Drosophila melanogaster: one gene and its partners. The protein of the gene in region 1 purifies or fractionates together with the protein of each later gene. This does not show direct contact. Each region holds a gene or a part of one and is shown in the gene's direction. Other genes may lie near its edges. The genes, in order: cype, COX4, levy and COX5A.

Region 1 (4,217 bases):
TTATCTTAATATCTTGTCCACCAACTTTCAAATTTATCACAGAATCGCCCTCGAATTGCACTGACTGAATGTTGAGGGCGCGCAGCTCCGGATTTCCATCGTTGGCCAGCTGGCGCAGCCGTTGTGCTGCGTCCCAGGGTAGCGAGACCAATATCCGCACCAGTGACGGTTCAAGCTGCTGCAAAGTGGCACACATGTGAGACATTTTGCAAATTTACAACATTTAATTAACATTTAAGGAGCCGTATAGGAAGAGAAAGAAGAAGAGGGATAGTGAAATTGCTGGCGATGGCCACTATTTTGTTATCGATATCTATGCAGCGAGAGTTTGCAGCCCTGGTTTACGACACGCAAACATAGAAACGCCTAATTTATGGCCAAACACAATTCCAAACCTTAATTATTTAACTTATAATTTACCTTCACTAGATCTGCCATACTTGAATCTAATTATTTTTATATATTGCATATGTTATTTGCATTTCTCGTTTTGTTTTTGACCCTGCGGTCTCTGGCGCTAGAGCAGGATGGCCATAGGGCACTCGTTGGAAATTCCAACAACAATTTGTTTCGACAACAGTCCCCAAAGATAATGCGCTTGAATTGAGTAACCCAAAAGACAATTCAGCTGACTGCATTTTCCACGCGCGGCATGCCAAAAGGGGGCGGAGCGGGTCGGGGCAGCTGGTGCCCACAGGTTGCATTTTCTCATGCGTGCGTGCGTTTTCCTTTTCTCTCTGCGGGACGTGTTATCGATACCCCGACGTCGTCGCCATTTTTCTTCTTGGCCTCTTGGAAGGCGGTGCGCCGGTGTGCGTGCTTGCTCGTGTACGTGTGCTGGTTGGGCAAGTGTGTGTGTGTGGCAGAGGGAAAAGGTAACCAAAATACTTGCTTGGCACTAAGGCGGGGGGTAAAAAGGGGGCGGGCTGATTAATAAAATAAAAAAGGGGGAACCGAAAAAGAGAGATGAAAAAATAAACACGGGAAATGCGAGATTCTATACACTCGAAGCCAACCAATTAGTTCACCCTTTTCGCCGCCTATTGTTTTTGTTTTTATACCCGTCTCTGAGTGCGTGGGTGACGCAAGTGTAAAATGAGCAAAAGCGATGGCAAAAACAGACAAGAAAAGGGGGGAAAAAGAAGCCCACTTGAAGTGCAATAATCGCAAATCAGCTGTTCCGTTGCGCTCCACCAAAAAGCGAAACACGATAAACTCACCTGTTTAAGTGGCATATCATCACACGACAATCGCACGCGTCGTAGGTTTAATTGTTAGAACGCTGCTCAATTCTCGCATTTAGCTTTCGATTGACCGCCGTGGCGTCCTTTGGATTGAAATTGTTGGACCAATTGCATTATAGGCTTGACACTCGATGGCTTCGGTTTATTGTCTTTCGATGTAATCCGCACTCAGTTTTTAACCTCTGCGACTTGGGTTTTTGGGCATTTTCCACTATTATTTTTTTCTCTTCTCCCCTTTTGCTTTTTACTTTTTTTTTTAGTAGTAGCCTCACCAACACACACACTCACATGCACTGCAACACACACACTCACACACACACACGTGCGGGGCGCGGATACGGATTTTCCTGCGTCACTTTTCAAGCGCTTTTCCTGCTGGAAATCTTGCGTGCCCGCTTTTCAATTGTTGTTTAGGGCAAACTGAATACGTTTGGGCCCCCACTGTTCTCCATTTCACAATCGCTGGCCAAATAGTAATGCCTGTTTAGCGGAACTCGAAAATTTTCACGCATTCGGGCAGCCGATTTTCGGGGGCTTAATTTCACACGGTTCGATTGCGTGCGGGCACTTGATAAACGCACTGATTGCTGTCGAAAGATTCGCGCTTGTTTTTCAACCATCAATTGGCGTTGCAACGATGCGTTTATCCTGTTTATTTTGTACAAAAAACTTCGTAATTATTAAATTTCCACGAACAATAACAAGCACACAGTGGTAGCCATTTTTATTTTCCAGCCGGTGTTGCCAGACGTCCGCGGCCCGAAATTCCCTAAATTTCCCGACATATTTGTGGTTACCAGGGCTGCGAAGTAGCCTGTATTGGAAATTTGGCTCGAGCAGAGTTGTCAATTGTTTGGAAATTGTAATTTTATTTAATTAGTGCTAATAAATTTATAAATAAATTGTATTGCTATATTGTCTTTTATTTTTAAACATGTTTAGCAATCATAAATATAATGGTAACATAATTTGAACATGTTCAATATATAAATTTCATTCACAAATATTTTTCCTGCTTTAAACTATTGATTTTAGCTGGCCTCATAGCTTCCAGATGAAAAATTTGAAAAGTTATTACTTAACACACTTTTCTCTTAATTCTGCGTATTTAGCCTCAAAATCATTTTATTATTAAATGAAATGATTCTGTCAAATTGTCTAGGAGTGCTTTTTAATATATATTTTTATTATTTATTTTCCAAAGATCAATCGATAATTTCGCGAATGCTGCCACCTTCTTCGAATAAACGATAGTATTGAATAGAATTTGTTTTAGGTTCCATCTCTATCTCAGATTCTGAATTTGCAAATGTGAGTACATAACAAGGTTTTTCTTTAAAAAACACGGTTCAAGGGGTTTTGGAACTTAAAAAAAGTAATTAAATATCATACCAGTTGGCCATATCAACTCCATAAATTTCTGGGGAGAATTCATTAGTTGCTATGCGTTTAATGGCAGCTGCCTTTGAGCACCTTACGTAACTACCGAGCAATATAATTGATTTTTGTGATTTTCATTCTTTTCAGCGACATGGCCAACACTCCAGCCACCTCCTCTGCCGGACCCGTGCTCCGTGGCCTCCACAATGCCACCATCAAGCGCAACCTGGCCGTTTCCCTGGGCCTGACCGCCGTGGTGACCATCGCCTACAAAATTCTGGTCAACGATCCCAAGAAGGCCGCCTACGCCGACTTCTACTCGTAAATATAGCTTAACTATGCCACATGAATGTCATCATCTGATCTGTTTTATCCATTATCCCTGCAGGAAGTACGATGCCAACAAGTCCTTCGAGCGCATGAAGGCCGCCGGTCGTTTCCAGTCCTGCTAGGCTATGTTATCCCAAAACACAAGTAGTCTAAGTCAAATGATGTTGTAGAACAAGAGTTGCGCTTCTGTATTGAAAACTAAATAGATTTCAGTCTACGTACGTGCACGAAGGCGTTTTAATTTAGAGCTATCTTGTATTGCCAGCAAAAGTAAATGTGAAGGCAAATTATGATTAAATTCTTTATTATTTACTCGTATTTACAAACTTAGCCAAGTAATGCACAAAACAAACACACAAAACTATAAGGCCACACAAACCGGACCACATCTAAAACCTAATGGCAAAGTCCTTGTAGTCCAGTCGGCTGAGATTGCCCTGGTTCCGGACCTCACAGCGATCGATTTGGCAGCCGGGTGAGCCCTCAGTGGACAGCCAGGTGATCCTAAGAGTAGATTTAATCAGAAAATATTAGCATGGAGAGTGTAAACTATTCCGGTTTACTCACATCTTGTCCACCTCCTCCTTGGGCCCCTGCATCTTGCCCACAATGGTGCCCTGTTTGCTGTTCTTCACCCAGCCAGTGATTCCCGCCTTGGTGCAGCGATCGCGGGTGTCTTTCGTGAGATTCAGGCCTGCCGGTCGAAAAAAGCAATGGTATATGTTTTATATAGTCTCTAGTGCATGTGGAATGGGGCGTGAAACAAAGCCAAGGACAGTTTGGGGCCCCAAAGTAACTAGCTACTGAGGGTTTATTTTTAGGCAACCATTCGAGAGAGCTATGCTATGCTTGATTCCCGATTCCTATTTCCCATGAAACCACACCTTGTACATGTCCATAGACCTCGAAATCCAGCGTCACCAGCAGTCGGATATCCGGAATGCCCATTTCGATCGATTTCGATTTGGTTATGTAAATTTGGCAGCAAACTGGTCGTTATTTTAGAATTTCCTGATTTTATCACTTTACTCGCACTTGAAAAAGCCCTGCAACCTGGTTTATATTCTATGCAGACTTGAATCCCCAATTAAGCATATATATTTTTTGAAAATTATTTTACTCGAAGCGATTTTTTCCGCCGCGATCGCTAGCTTGATTTTCAACAAACCGTCGCAAATTTAAAACTAAAATGCCAAGTAGCATATCAATTGGTTTCTATTTTGCGTTTTCGATTTTGTATTTGCGTATTTATTTTAGCCGCAC
Region 2 (4,850 bases), about 15 Mb from region 1:
CCTGTCTCCTGAGCGCTGGGCCCGCCAACAAGCTGCCCTGCATCATTGGCACCATGTCACAGGCCACTTGCAACACCACCAACCTGCAGCTGCACCACAATTTCCGATGGGTATGTTTTGATGATGGACCTTACAAATTGGATCATTACATATTTGCTTTATCACTTGCTCACAGGTGCTCACAGCTAATCACATGGAGCCCGTGAAAGGCTTTCTGGGTCGCTTCCTGAGGCGTCGACTCTTCCAGCTGGAACTGCAGACGCAACATCCGCAGCCGGAGCTGGCGGCAGTGCTGGCCTGGTTGCCCTCCGTTTGGCAGCACATCAACCGATTCCTGGAGGTGCACAGCTCCAGTGATGTAACCATTGGGCCGAGGCTATTCCTCGCCTGCCCAATGGACCTGAAGGACTCGCAGGTGTGGTTCACCGACATCTGGAACTACCACCTCTCGCCATACTTGGTGGAGGCGGTGCGCGAGGGAGTTCAGCTCTATGGACGACGAGGAGGTGCCTGGAACGACCCCTCCGCCTTCATTAGGAACTCCTATCCGTGGCCATACGGTCCGGACTCAGTGCCTCCACTACGGCAAATCAATGCCGAGGATGTGGGACTCGAAGGCGTGGCCCTAACCAACGGTGACCAACAGGATCCCTTGGTAAGATACAGGACTAATATTGCTCCTTTGATTTTCAACTAATGAGGCGTTTCGTCAACAGCTCAACATGCTGATGCGCCTGCAGGAGGCGGCCAACTACTCGGAGGCCCAGGATCAGGAGTCCGATTGTGCCAGCCTGGACTCGAATGTTACGCCCGAAAGTTCCGCTGGAGCCGAGTGAACAGCTATAGAAACCAACCACTTCGTACATGCCAAATTTAGATGAACTAACTGAGAGGAGTACGCCAGCTGAGGGTCCAAGATATGCACCCAAGATATCCTTGCCCCCGCACAAATGAGACTTCTTGCACTACTTTCGCAGCGAGGTTCAAAAGCAGTTCCAAGAGTTTTCCATTTGCACCACGTCACCAACCTTTCCAATCATCGTTTCTAGCCACTCCCTGCCATCTAGAGTAAATTGCACTTTTTAGCGCACTTGTTAAAAATGCAAATTGTCCTAGCCACAAACTGAACCTGATAACGAAGCACTACCATCCCAAAAAGCAAGGACCCCGGCTGCGTTTCCGAAAAACCCAAATCTTGAGAAAAGGAAACTTCACTAACATGAAATGTTACAGAGATAAGACGAGTGAATTCATTTTTGTACATATAGATGAAAACTAACCCCAAGTCCCCCCTATGCTTAAGTGTGAATCTGACCGACGGTCTAGACTTTTTATACCCTTTATCCCAGCCCAGAGTCGGCGGATCATATGAATTAAATCGCAACTAATACCTAACTCTACTGTAAATGTAGCTATAAGTTTTTGCTACTACCAATTTACAAGATGTATAGTTGAAGGAAAAAGCTTTCACTTTAGTTTAATTATTTGCGTAATTATCATTAAATATTGTTACAAACATATTGCATATTTATAAAGCCCAATAAAGCAAAATACCATTAACATATTTATTATGCCAAGCGGCGCTTAAACACAGGAATACGCGAAAGTGAATACGTAATGCCCCATCCTCGATAAAATAGCTAAATTTCCGAACTCCAGATCCCTATCGAAAGATAATCTTATGTAATACAAACTCAAGCAGCAAACTATATGATACGATAAAGCAAATTATGTGTCTCTGTCTAATTTAAATGTGTGCATTTATGAGATATGACATCAAATCAAAATAAAATATAATATCGAACAATAATTGTTTTGTTGTTGTTTCTCTTCTCGCGGACAGACTACAAAAAGAATGTGAAATACCAAACCAAATATTTCACCATGCTGCGAAATAAAATAAAACATAATAGTTGCCCTTATTTGCTGTTTCTTTATTTTAATATATTTAGATTTAAATACCCCGCCGAATTCCGATTGCTAGCGATTGAATATATCGATATATTAATATTTATATTTTTTCATTCGAGATGTGGTCACACTTCTCTGCATGAAAATACCAAAATATCGAGCAATAATTACCCATCCATATATATATTTTGTTTTGTATATTCCCTCTGGTCACATTGTTCAGCAAGTCTAAGAAAAGTAGGTAAAAGTGCTTTAAAAATTGTATTAATTGCGAAAAATATCAAGTACCTGCGACCACAAAGCTATTGAATACAACGAGCGGGATAAGCAAGCCGACATAAATTGGAAAACCAGTTGCCACCGGTTTATAAGCCGTTTTCCGGTAGATGCAACCGCCCACCGATTACACAACATCTGTGATGGCTGTGAAAAATGGGAGAATTATGCGGATATTATGCCAAACACAGCACGAAATCGGGATAAATATATGGCGACAGGCGTAGAGGAACCTCAAAACAATGCGATTTTTATGGAAATAGATTCTATAACTTGGCACGTAGTTCTGCTAGCTGTTACATAACCTCCAACTAAGTGGGCACCATATATCGGTGAATTCGTAACCCGTTAGAATTCACGGATGACCGCCTGGTCGGGTGGGAAATTTGGCTATCGCGGGTCCAAGACCCTATGTTCCTCTGCTGATACCTCATAAATTGATATTCATTTTACTACCTTGCAGACTCTGTGAGAAAATGGCCCTGCGACTACTCAACAGTGCTGTGCTCCGCCAGCTGGCCTCTCAGCTGCCCAAGAGTGCCCAGGTGGGCAGCGTGGCCGCCGTCCACACACTGGACAAGATCGGCAAGCGGGAGATCGTTGGCTACGGCTGGAACGGCACCGCCTGCTACGCGGATCGCGTGGACTACCCTCTGCCCGCCGTGCGCTTCCGTGAGCCCACCAACGAGATCAACGCTCTGCGCGCCAAGGAGCAGGGAGACTGGAAGAAGCTCAGCACCCAGGAGATCAAGGCCCTGTACCGCGCCAGCTTCTGCCAGACTATCGCCGAGGTCCAGGCTGGATCCGGGGAGTGGAAGCTCCACCTGGGCGTTTCACTCCTCTTCTGCGCCGCCGCCATCTGGGTGGCCGTACTGATGAACATCTTCGGTAAGCCATTTTTCCGGTTCCCTTTTGCGGCTATCCATTATTGAGCATTTTCCTTTCAGTGTACGATGAGCTGCCCGTTACCTTCGATGAGGAGCACCAGAAGGCGCAGCTGCAGCGCATCATCGACCTGGAAATCAACCCCGTCACCGGATTGACCTCCAAGTGGGACTACGAGAACAAGAAGTGGAAGAACTAAGTGCGCTGTCGTTAAATAATTCCGCGATTGTGTGTGATTAAGTTAGCCGACGTCTATGTGTATTAAGTAAAAGCAAGATAGTCGAAATTAAAGTTATGGCTGCTGCCTAAATCAATCGATCTTGGGTCAGTCATCAGTTTCTGCTAGGAAACCAGCCTCAATGATCCGTTTTAAGAGCAATGATTGTTATTCGATTTATTAACAGACCTTTTAGTGTGTAGATTACAAACTTTTCGTTACTAAAATCGCCACAGGCATAGCCAATTTAATTACCACTTAGTGAGACCTTTTAGCACTCTTATGTCTCATGTTCCGGCTGTTCGATTTTTGAACCTCATGAACAAGGATCTGCAAGGCTTCCAAGGCATTTGTGTTCTTGGCAAATTCCCTTTCAAACATGCGGCCGAATCTTAAGATCAATGGTTTCAGTTCCGGCGTTATCATTGCTTTCTCTTTTTCGGTCCTAAAAAGGCGGATTTCAAAGGCATTGCCAGACATATAGGCGAACACTACTTACACAGCTCCCTTTTTTATCACCTCTTTCAGGATCTGGACAACCGTTTGAATGTCCCCAAATAATCTGTACTTGTCTTTGGTAGAAATTTCACCGTCAAAGAATAACTTCAGTTCGTTGTCAGTTATATTCTTCTTTCGACCCCATTCCTCCAGCTCTGCCGTCTCTTTTTGGTAGGCGCTCCGAGCTCTGCTGAAAAGAAGTCAGGCATTCCTTGATCTCAGAGCATTCATACTTGATGCAGATGATGCACCTACCTCCAGTTCGAAATATCCCTAGCTGTCTGCTTCATCTTTTTTAAATGTCCTGATCTGTGTTTGAAAGTCTTCTCTTCTTTCTCCTTTGCAACTGTCGCCTTTGGTTCGGCATCTCGGTTAAAGCTATTGAAAGCGAAAGGTTGGTGCCATTCGAAAGTGTATATATCCTTCAGCTCGATCGAATCTGTATCTTACTGTTTGTGCCAATCGTATCCATCGTATGGAGGCCTGTGCAGATTGTGTGCTCGGAGATGACGCTGTCTTTCCATCTGGGTGTGGTTCTGGTTACCTCTGCTGTCCACCTGGAGGAAGAGCAACAGCAGGCAATGGAGGATGAGGATCGCAGCGGGATAGAGCCTTGGTCCCATGGCTGTAGTTTGTGGAGTGACAAATTACTTATACGTTAAATCACAATTAAGTGGGCTGAGATGTATTATGGAACCAATCGATTTCCCATTAGTCACTTATCTCAAAATAGAAAAAAAAACAACATATTTTTAAAAGGGGGTTACTCATTCTAAAGAAAGGGTCAATTTATATTTATAAAATCCATTTCTCCTCATTTGAAATGTATATCGCTTGGATAGCAACAATTAATGCGATTCAATTTATTATTTACACATTCGAACAGTGGAAATGTTCAATTAAGCAGTGATCCATTGATATGATGAACAAGGCTTCCGCTTCCCATTGTCTGGCGAGATCCGAGGCATTATGGCCCTGTGAACGACTTTGCAACGGGCCATAAGTAATCGCGTGCAATCCCAACCTTGTCGGACATCAGATGGAGTTACGTTGTTTATGGTGG
Region 3 (4,282 bases), on another chromosome or scaffold:
CAATACACGATTCTCGGTCAGTTGCATTCGCTTTCGCCCGCCGCCGAGCGTGCGTGCATAAATTAGCGCACGGAAGCCACCTTGACTCAATGCCTGCCGCCAAGGCCAACGACCTGGCCGCCTGCCGCTCGCAATCATGCAAGCGAGCTCCCAAGTTCACGTCACTATCACCGCACCGCACCGCACTGCACTGTCGCGCTCAACGGGATCGGGATGCAGGGTGCTGCATTGCAGTGCAGTGCAGTGCAGGGACGCGGCTTGTTAGTTCGTTCAGAGCTACATCATCAATGCATTCTATGTGTGTGATAAATGATCACCCACAACTCTCGCCATTTCAAGGACTTCTACTAATGTTTGCCTGCTACTTCACTTTTGTATAGGAACTCTATTAGTTTAACTTTGCAGAGAAAGGTTTTCTAACAAGAGCACTTAATAATGTAATATATACTATGTAATTTCCCATTCTAATTTATACAATTACTGTGGCCTTAAACTTGGAATGATTCATCGCAGTGAGAACCGCACGAATTAAGCCCACATTAGATGCTGTATCCGAATAAATTGCAGCGGATCGGGATCGGGAGAGTGTATCCAGCAAGCAGAATCTTCCAGGCGGCAGACAAACGGCAGCTGCATATACACACAGCATATAAATATAGAAGTTCCAAGGTGCTTCCTGAACGAGCAGTTTCGAAAAGTTGCTAAACAAGGGGAAGCGAGTACGTTAAAAGGCGATAACGAAGTCAACTTGAACTTGCAGTGGGAACGAGCGCTCTTTCCGCATAAAAGCAACATTTGCGAAAGCCACGAATGCAAAGTGCCTGTAAAAAACAGGCAATAGCTAACGAATTGCGAATTGCAACTGCCATGGCAATTGCAATCGCATCGACTGGCTGACACCTCAAGGCAAAGAATGCGAGTTTTGTAGCATGCGAGTGGCGGCAGGCAAAAGGGTTTCGCACTCGCAGAAAACAGGTTTCGCTCGCGATGAGTGACTTTGCATTTGGGTCAAGGTTTCCCACAGGCTAGACATGATGCTACACCGTGCTGGCCCGCCTGTAGTTCATGTGATTCCATGCCGCTCTGTTGCAGCACCTTTCCCACGAACATAACGATCCGTCAAAGAACACGGACAACATAACTTGTTTTTCGACATGGCCTTCTGGGTAAAACATTATTTGCCCTTCCTACAAAACTATACTACAAATTTGACCAATAAGCAAAAGTAACTGCCTGTTTTTACCAGGAAACTTGCTGTATAGACATTAAACTATTGCAAATGAACACTGTCTATATAGAAACACTAGTTAAATCCAATTCTTACGGAATCTGCGTTGTGTCCCAGTTCGTCAGTGACTGACACTTCCGATTTTAACCCCATCGTATGATTATGACAACCACTGTGCGACGACGGAAAGTGGTGTATAAATAGCGCGCAAGGACGGCTAATCGCATGCGACTGGCTGCCCGATCCCGCGGACCTTACCTTTGCAGGCCGAGATGAGAAAGTAGCCGGCGTCGCAGATGTCGCTGAAGTCCAGGTGGACCACGGGTCGCGTGTGGCCACTGCAGGTCAGCGGGATTTGTCGCAAGTTGTTGGCGGCCATGGCAGTGGGCTGCTAGTGGATTGGTGGACTGTGTGGTCCTTAATACTTGTGGTTTTCTCCGAGTGTAGCGACCGTTATGTCCGCTGGCGAACTGTGCACTTAGTGAATAACTGACGTTTTGTGGCTACTTTGTACTTGGATTGGTTGTTGCTCCTGGTTAACTGCGCTTCACTGCCCGTACGATAATGATTTTCCCGTTCGTTGCTTAGGTTCGAGATGCTGCGGTGGCTTTGCAGGGTGTGCAGTGTATTTACAATCTGATGCACTGAATTTTATAAACAAGAGGGGAAAATAATTACGCGACACGTTGTTGTTGTGGATGGACGATTGGTAGCCGACTCCAGCCTCGATAGTCCGCACACACAGTACCTACCTATCGTCAGCGGTGGGCGCGTGAGGCGATAACTTCTCGATTAGCTAGAGCTGTGTCACGGCAGCCAGGGGAGGATACAAAGGAAAAATGTCAAATTACTTATTTACAATTTGGCATAGAATTGTTTTATTTTGTTTTTTATTTATATTAAGCCAATTAACAGCTTTGTTGTACGTAATTTAGAAATCACGGCCAACCACTATCGATATAATTTAGCGAACGAGTCACGACATTATGGATGTAGCCCATCCCTATTTACTTGTCAAAACAGCAAATTTTCATTCGGGCCAAGAATCGACTGAAAATATGTCCGCTATTCTAAACCACGCAATTCGCCGCCAATTCGGCGCTTCTGCCGCCCGGAATATGTCCGGCACCGCCGCCGTGGCCGGCGAGCACTCTGGTAAGTGACCGTCCAGCGTCCCAATTGCCAAATTCATCCCCTTTTGTAAGGTTAAGGTTATGTAATTTACCATTGGGCAAGATCGATTGGTGGAGAAGGATTCGCTCTTATAACACATCCTTTCATGCTCATCTCATCTCTCATCCTTCAGGTGGCTACAAGGTGTGGAAGCGCCTGTCCTTCTTCGTGGCCGTGCCCGCCGTGGGACTGTGCATGCTGAACGCCTACCTGAAGCACCAGGAGGAGCACGACAAGCCCCGCCAGGAGTTCGTCAAGTACGACTACCTGCGCCGCCGCGAGAAGCGCTTCCCCTGGGGTGAGGGCCAGAAGAGCCTGTTCCACAACCCCCACGTTAACGCCCTGCCCGACGGCTACGAGCACTAGGTGGCCACCGTCTCCGGTTCCCTCTGCGGGATGTATTCGTTGTTTGGTAGTGATAGACGTTAATGTAAACTGAACTTTACGCGGAAATACACAGAAAACACATATACCCAAACTCCAGTTGGCGCTTCAATAAAGATCAAATTAGAGCGAGGAGAGATCCCATAAAGACCATTTCAATGAGCGACAGCGGAATTCTGGTGAGGAGTTTATTTAAAAGGCCTTCGGTTAAAGGAAAAATTAAAAGTTACAATTAAATAGAATTTAAATTTAAGCATAAGCACGGATGCACTTTTCGCATGCAATATATTCAACTACTATCATTATTTTGCGGATCGGCGATTCTTAAGGTTGCGTTCCAGTTTGTGATGAGGCTTGCCTTCGTTCTTTCCTGTCTTCTGAGTGATTCTTTGAGCATCCCGACTGCGAGTTTGGCGCACGGATTGCTGGGCATCCTTGGGAGGATTGGTTTTACGCTGCTTTGGAGGCGGCGGCGTGAAGGATTCGTCGCTATCGTCTAGGTGGTCCTCATAGAGAGCATCGTCTTCTAAGTATTCCGTCACGAATTCTTCCTGCTTCACATTGTCCATGTCTTCAAAATCGTCAAGATGTTCCTCCTTCTCATCGACGCCGCCTTCTCCTTCGCCGTCGTCTTCGAACTCGTTCTGGTACGGCTCCATTTCCACCACATGATCGTCCTCGATGTGGCGCTGCAGGCATTTCTGCGTCAAGAAGATGTGGTCACAGAACTCGCAGGCATGGCGCTCGCTCTGCTTGTGCTGGTCCATGTGGCTCTCGACACTGTCGATATCTTCGATCTGCTTGCGACACATGGGACATTTCAGGCTGGCGGTGGCATGAATGAGCGCATGATCCAGTAGGTCGTTATAGTTGCTGTACGACACCTTGCACTCACTGCACACGAACGAGGCGTCGGAAGTCTGCGTGTGCGTGCGCAGGTGGCGCGAGAGATGATGCGACAGCATGTAGGACTTGTGGCAGTACTTGCAGGGATAGGCTCTCTTCCCGGCGTGGGCAACCAGGTGGCGGGCCAGCTTGGAAGCGGTGGAAAAGCTTCTCTCGCAATGCTGACAGGGGAAGGGAAGATTGGTGGAGTGGACTGTCTGAAAGTGGACATAATCGTTAGCCGGGGCAATCCCAAATATGCTTGTCAACCCACCTCATGACGCTCCAATCCCTGCTTGAAGGCAAACGACTTGGTGCAGACACCGCATTGGAACGGACGCTTCTTCTGATGTCGCTCGGCGTGCTTCTCCATCTCCTGGCGCGAAAGGAAGGGCTTCTCGCAGTACACGCAGATGAACTTGGGTACGTCCGTGTGGGTGCGCTCGTGGCGATGGAGCAATGCCTTCCGTGTGAAGGCTTTCGAGCAGATGGCGCACTTGAATGGCCGCTCGCCGGTGTGCACAAAGTTGTGCTTGGCCAGGTCGTACTTGGAGAAGAAGCTCTTCTCGCACAGGAGACACTGGAAGCTGCGCGAGCGAGTGTGATTCAGCC
Region 4 (4,781 bases), on another chromosome or scaffold:
TGGGAAAATTTTTTGCTAAATGATTTCTCAGTTACTGAAATAGAAATTATTTGTGATAAAAGTTATTAAATATTTTGTGAATAATTGTATAGTCCTTGTGTGTTTCAACAAGTTCGCAATCGATTACCACTTAATGTTTTAATTTCGCTGTTTTTGTTGTAGAAGATATGATGAATTAGAAACCCACCTGTGCCCAATTTTTTCCCGATTTCGGCCCAAGGCTTGCTCAGTGTCGTCCTGGCTTTCGAACTGAACAAAAGCTTCCCCAGTTGCACGACCCCTTCTGTCCATAACAAAAAGTATGCCCTCCCGATCCGTTTTGATATCCAACCCTGCCCATGACGATAACCAACAAAGATTTATACAAATATATAGATTTCATATATATATATACATTATGCAAGGTTAAGCTTAGATAGAAAAACAGAAATACAGAGGTTGATAAATGTTATTGTTTAGTTCCAACACCGCAGAACTTTTGCAGGTTCTCACGGTATTAGCAACGTTTGCATAAATAAACAGTGCCTTTTAGTCAAACTATGATCACCAGGCAAGATGCGACTGTTGCAATCGAGTTTCCCGGACCACAATGTATTACAAAACTCAGATCCTGTAACTCGTAGACATGTGTAGCTCAGTTGAAGGTTGTGAGTAATGATCGACCATATAACCAAGTAAACTGGGTTATGTGACCAACGAAGGAATGATTTATCGGACAAGCGGACGTGACCGCGTCAACTCTCAGCCGTTGACTTTGGAAGGAGCCGCGTGAACCGCCGAACCCATTACACAAATGCAAGGGCCTGCATTTCTTTGCCCGACAATATGTATGTACGTTGAAACGCATGTGTAATTGATATATGAAAGGTGTAGATGAAAGGGGACCGTAGGCCATATCTCAACGATGTGAACAAATAATACATGCGGTCAACCACTGTCTTTTTTCCTGGTACCTGGTACATATTAGTATGGAAAGAGGATTTGGGTCAGGAAACTTACCAGAGAAGAACTCCTCGATTTGCTGCTCAGTGACGGCATATGGCAGACCACGAAGCTTCACAACGAAGGCCGTGCCGTGTCCGCTGATCTTCCGCATGGCTTCCTTGGCCTCCTTGGGCGTGGCGGTAAAAACTAAAGAAATAAAAACCAATTACATCAGTTAAAACGGAAAAAAAACAAACAAGTTTTCTGCACCATTTTGTGTTTGTTATTAAGATAAGAATTAACATGAATACAGATTATAAATGGTGGTGTGAAATTTACTTTACTAAATTTTAGTTTACCTCGATAGAAGCAAGGATAAGAGTAACAATACAGTGACATATTTGTAAAACCTCCTTAATATTAGGTAAAATTCCACAATGAATGAAAAGAAAATAAGCGCTACCAGTATAAGTAGCAAAACAATGAAGAAATAAATCATCTTCGATTCCATGTATGGAATCAGAACAAGTTCAAGCTTGTTAAAAGGATAAACATATAAACAAAGTGAGAAGAAACTAACTATAACTGCCAAGATAGTCATCAGGTACAGTCATCCCCCACTCAAGTGGCAAATAAACAAACCTTCAATGTAGCGGTGACCCATGCTGGCCTTGTTCAGCTTGCGAGCCTCTTCGACGTCCTCCTGGCTGGCCACCTCCACGTACGCCTCGCCGGTGTTCTTGCCGTCGACCCGACTGGTGACCAGGTGAATGCCCGCCGAGCCATTAGTCACATTCACGTTTTCCAGAAAGTCGAGTATCTCCTTGTGCGTTGCGGACCAGGGCAGGCCGCGCAACCGAACGAATTTGGGGCTCTCGCCGACGTTTTCGATCTTGCCGCCGCCATCTTCGTTGTACTGGTCATCCTCATCCTGCTGCTGGTTGCTGTCGTCGTTGAAGTTGTCGCCATTTCCCTGCTGGCCGTAGTTAAATTGCACGTCTGCGTTGGACATTTTTCACCAGATCTCTACCTGCAAATGGTGTTACAACGATTAGTCACTGGTTAACTAGTTTTAATTGTTTTTTACTGGCTGAAAATGCGATTTTTTGAGCTAGTGATTCTCCACTCAGCAGCGACGCTTGTTTGGTGCGATTCTTTTTTGCACCGCGTACGCCATTTTGATTTCTTGTCACCCCTAATTGCTTATGACATTTTGCAAGTCTCGTACACAATATAAACGCTTCTAAATGTCACACCTGGTGGCGGAACAGAGAACTAACCGTATTCTGCTCTGTTTCAACTTCCAATATCGCCTTTTTTTAAACTTTATCGGTTAATTTGACTTATTTTTCAGAGAGATTAATCAAATAGCACGCGTCAAGTTGAAGATGCAGTGTGACCGCAATTAAATCATCAAAAAATACCGCCTGGCAGTAGCCAGCATCAATGTGGACCGTTGAAAAAGAAACAAGGTTTGATTTTGATTTTTTTTTTGCTTTTTTTGGGCAAGATAGAAGAAATTAAATATAAGGAAAATGATAAACTAACTGTGATCTTACCCGAATTTGAAATATACTGAAGCAGAAACATTTTAAATATCTCACTGTTCCGTGACAGCGACAGTTATAAACGTGTCCATCCCTGGAAAAGCCAGTGTTGCCAACCATCACTCAGATCTGTCATACCCGTGTGAAAAGTAGCAAGAACAAGAAAAGTGAGTCGAGCTGTTACTTAACCAAATTTTTGCAATTAACAAGCATTTTACTGTTTTTAACGGCAGCATGTTGAGCATCACGGCCCGTAACCTGGCAAGCGCCCTCCGCAGCAGCCTCGTCGGCACATCGTCGCGCGTGGCCGCCGTGCGCTGTCTGCACGGAACCGAGGAATCGGCGGAGGAGTTCGACAAGCGCTACGAGAAGTACTTCAGCCGTGAGGGCATCGATGGCTGGGAGATCCGCAAGGGCATGAACGATCTGCTGGGCATGGATCTGGTGCCCAGCCCCAAGATCATCGAGGCCGGTCTGCGTGCCAGCCGTCGCGTCAACGACATTGCACTGGCCATCAGGTGGCTGGAGGGATGCAAGGACAAGTGCGGCGACCAAAAGGCCACCCTCTATCCCTACTTGCTGGAGAAGATCACCCCCACACTGCAGGAGCTGGGCATCCCAACCATCGAGGAACTGGGCTACGACAAGCCCGAATTGGCCCTGAAGTCCGTGTACGATGCCTAAGCGGAGAACACTAGTTTAAAAACACAGAACACAATATACACGTTACAGCGACACTAGCTACCTACTATCCAATGTATGGTGCGGATGAACATGTTGTTGGATTGCTAATAAATGGAGATTGCAGTAAGGCTACCACACCAGCACAAGGTTGTTTTCCCTGTTGGTTACGTAACACCCAGGTTAGGGAACTGCATTCGGGCAGAGATAAACAAAGCGGCTGATAGCAATTCGTTTATTGTCCGGCGACTATTTCCATTTGGACAGCAGTTCGGCCGCCTTATCCAGGTTCTCTTGCTTCTTGATGAAGCAGTAGCGCACAAAGTCCTCCCCCAGATGTTTGTTGGGTTCGCTGTAGAAGGCACTTGGCGGTATGCCCTGCAAGCCCATGTTCTTGGTCATCCACTTGGTAAACTTGTAATCCCGATGCTTGTCTGGCTCAGAGCTTAGATCAATCTTGCCCGCCAGTGGTGACCAGTCTGCCAGCATAAAGTAGCCACCCTCAGGAATGGTGGGACGCATACCGGATTCGGACAGGAACTTGGCCATGAAGTCACGCTTCTGCTTCAGCTCGCGCGGCAGGCTAAGGAAGTAGCTCTCCGGCTGACCCAAACGGGCCAGTTCTACCTCGAAACTGCGTGCGACGCCCTCCTGGAGCGGCGTTGGACAGGTGTACACAGAGTTCTGATGCACCATCTGCAGGTTTCGAATCAGTTCAGCGGGTCCGTAGGCCCAGCCTATTTTCCAACCAGTTACTGAGAAGGTCTTGCCCGCTGATCCCAGAGTAATGGTGCGATCCCACATGCCCGGCAGCGTGCAGATACGGATGTGCTCGGCTCCGTCGAACACCAACCACTCATACACCTCGTCCGAGACGCACAGCACATTCCACTTGCGGCAGAGCTCGGCTATCCTCTCTAGCTCTTTCCGGTTGAAGACCTTTCCAATAGGGTTGTGGGGCGTGTTTAGGATAATCATCTTTGTTTTAGAGTTGAACAGACTCTCGAACTCAGCGTCATCTAGCACCCAATCGGCAGAGCTTATTGGTCCCTCTGTCTTGCGCTAGAAGTTAGACATGTTAAAAAGAGGGATATATTTTTTTTTTCTATTGTGGTTCTTACCAATTTTAGGGGAACAAAGCGGGGCACTCCACCGGCCATCTTGACCATAGGCTCGTAGCAATCAAAGAATGGTTCAATAATGATCACCTCGTCGCCCACGTCCACATGGCCCATGATGGTGGAGTAGAGAGCCTCATAGGCGCCTGAGGTAATCAGTATGTCGCTGAGGGGATTTAGCTCCTTGCCGACGAGACCGCTATAGAGCTTGGATAGCGCATTGACCAGGCGAACGTGACCGTAACCGCGAGTGTACTGATGCAGAAGAGGATTCTGCTCCTTGGCAATGTCGGCCAACGAGTGGGTCACGTACTCGGGAGCGGCATCATCGGGAAATCCCTGTCCCAAGTTCAGGGGCTTATATTGCATGGCCAGGGCAATGTACTCGTTCCAGACGCTGGGCGTGCTACCCTGCAATCGCTTGGGCAGATCGAATTTCTCCATTTTAATGGCAGTCTGCTGGTGACGAAGGGCTTGCAACTGGAACTGCTCGCGAAGGCTCCTCTTAGCG

Evidence for each region.
Region 2: the proteins of cype (region 1) and COX4 fractionate together in Drosophila melanogaster (co-fractionation; one study listed by BioGRID). This does not show direct contact.
Region 3: the proteins of cype (region 1) and levy fractionate together in Drosophila melanogaster (co-fractionation; one study listed by BioGRID). This does not show direct contact.
Region 4: the proteins of cype (region 1) and COX5A fractionate together in Drosophila melanogaster (co-fractionation; one study listed by BioGRID). This does not show direct contact.

The regions. Positions count from the first base shown.
Region 1 is NT_033779.5:5,324,732-5,328,948, forward strand, and holds cype (cyclope), read left to right. Parts: upstream 1-2,495; 5' UTR 2,496-2,555; intron 2,556-2,557; exon of another isoform or gene 2,558-2,619; intron 2,620-2,771; 5' UTR 2,772-2,775; coding exon 2,776-2,945; intron 2,946-3,012; coding exon 3,013-3,076; 3' UTR 3,077-3,238; downstream 3,239-4,217. Other genes in the region: Ncoa6 (nuclear receptor coactivator 6), read right to left, coding at 1-178, 1,221-1,235; CG14022 (uncharacterized protein), read right to left, coding at 3,344-3,458, 3,522-3,648, 3,839-3,902.
Region 2 is NT_033779.5:19,956,617-19,961,466, forward strand, and holds COX4 (cytochrome c oxidase subunit 4), read left to right. Parts: upstream 1-2,096; 5' UTR 2,097-2,152; intron 2,153-2,215; exon of another isoform or gene 2,216-2,650; 5' UTR 2,651-2,663; coding exon 2,664-3,075; intron 3,076-3,134; coding exon 3,135-3,271; 3' UTR 3,272-3,449; downstream 3,450-4,850. Other genes in the region: sick (sickie), read left to right, coding at 1-110, 176-655, 717-836; CG34051 (uncharacterized protein), read right to left, coding at 3,548-3,734, 3,789-3,977, 4,043-4,165, 4,238-4,410; CG42866 (uncharacterized protein), read right to left, coding at 4,823-4,850.
Region 3 is NT_033778.4:23,546,004-23,550,285, forward strand, and holds levy (levy), read left to right. Parts: upstream 1-2,235; 5' UTR 2,236-2,286; coding exon 2,287-2,383; intron 2,384-2,534; coding exon 2,535-2,767; 3' UTR 2,768-2,979; downstream 2,980-4,282. Other genes in the region: wmd (wing morphogenesis defect), read right to left, coding at 1,487-1,607; pita, read right to left, coding at 3,088-3,888, 3,945-4,282.
Region 4 is NT_033777.3:11,817,007-11,821,787, forward strand, and holds COX5A (cytochrome c oxidase subunit 5A), read left to right. Parts: upstream 1-2,352; 5' UTR 2,353-2,396; exon of another isoform or gene 2,397-2,414; intron 2,415-2,541; 5' UTR 2,542-2,638; exon of another isoform or gene 2,639-2,704; 5' UTR 2,705-2,705; coding exon 2,706-3,155; 3' UTR 3,156-3,293; downstream 3,294-4,781. Other genes in the region: glo (glorund), read right to left, coding at 188-332, 1,000-1,131, 1,567-1,936; Kyat (kynurenine aminotransferase), read right to left, coding at 3,402-4,214, 4,274-4,781. UniProt on the Drosophila melanogaster protein: Component of the cytochrome c oxidase, the last enzyme in the mitochondrial electron transport chain which drives oxidative phosphorylation.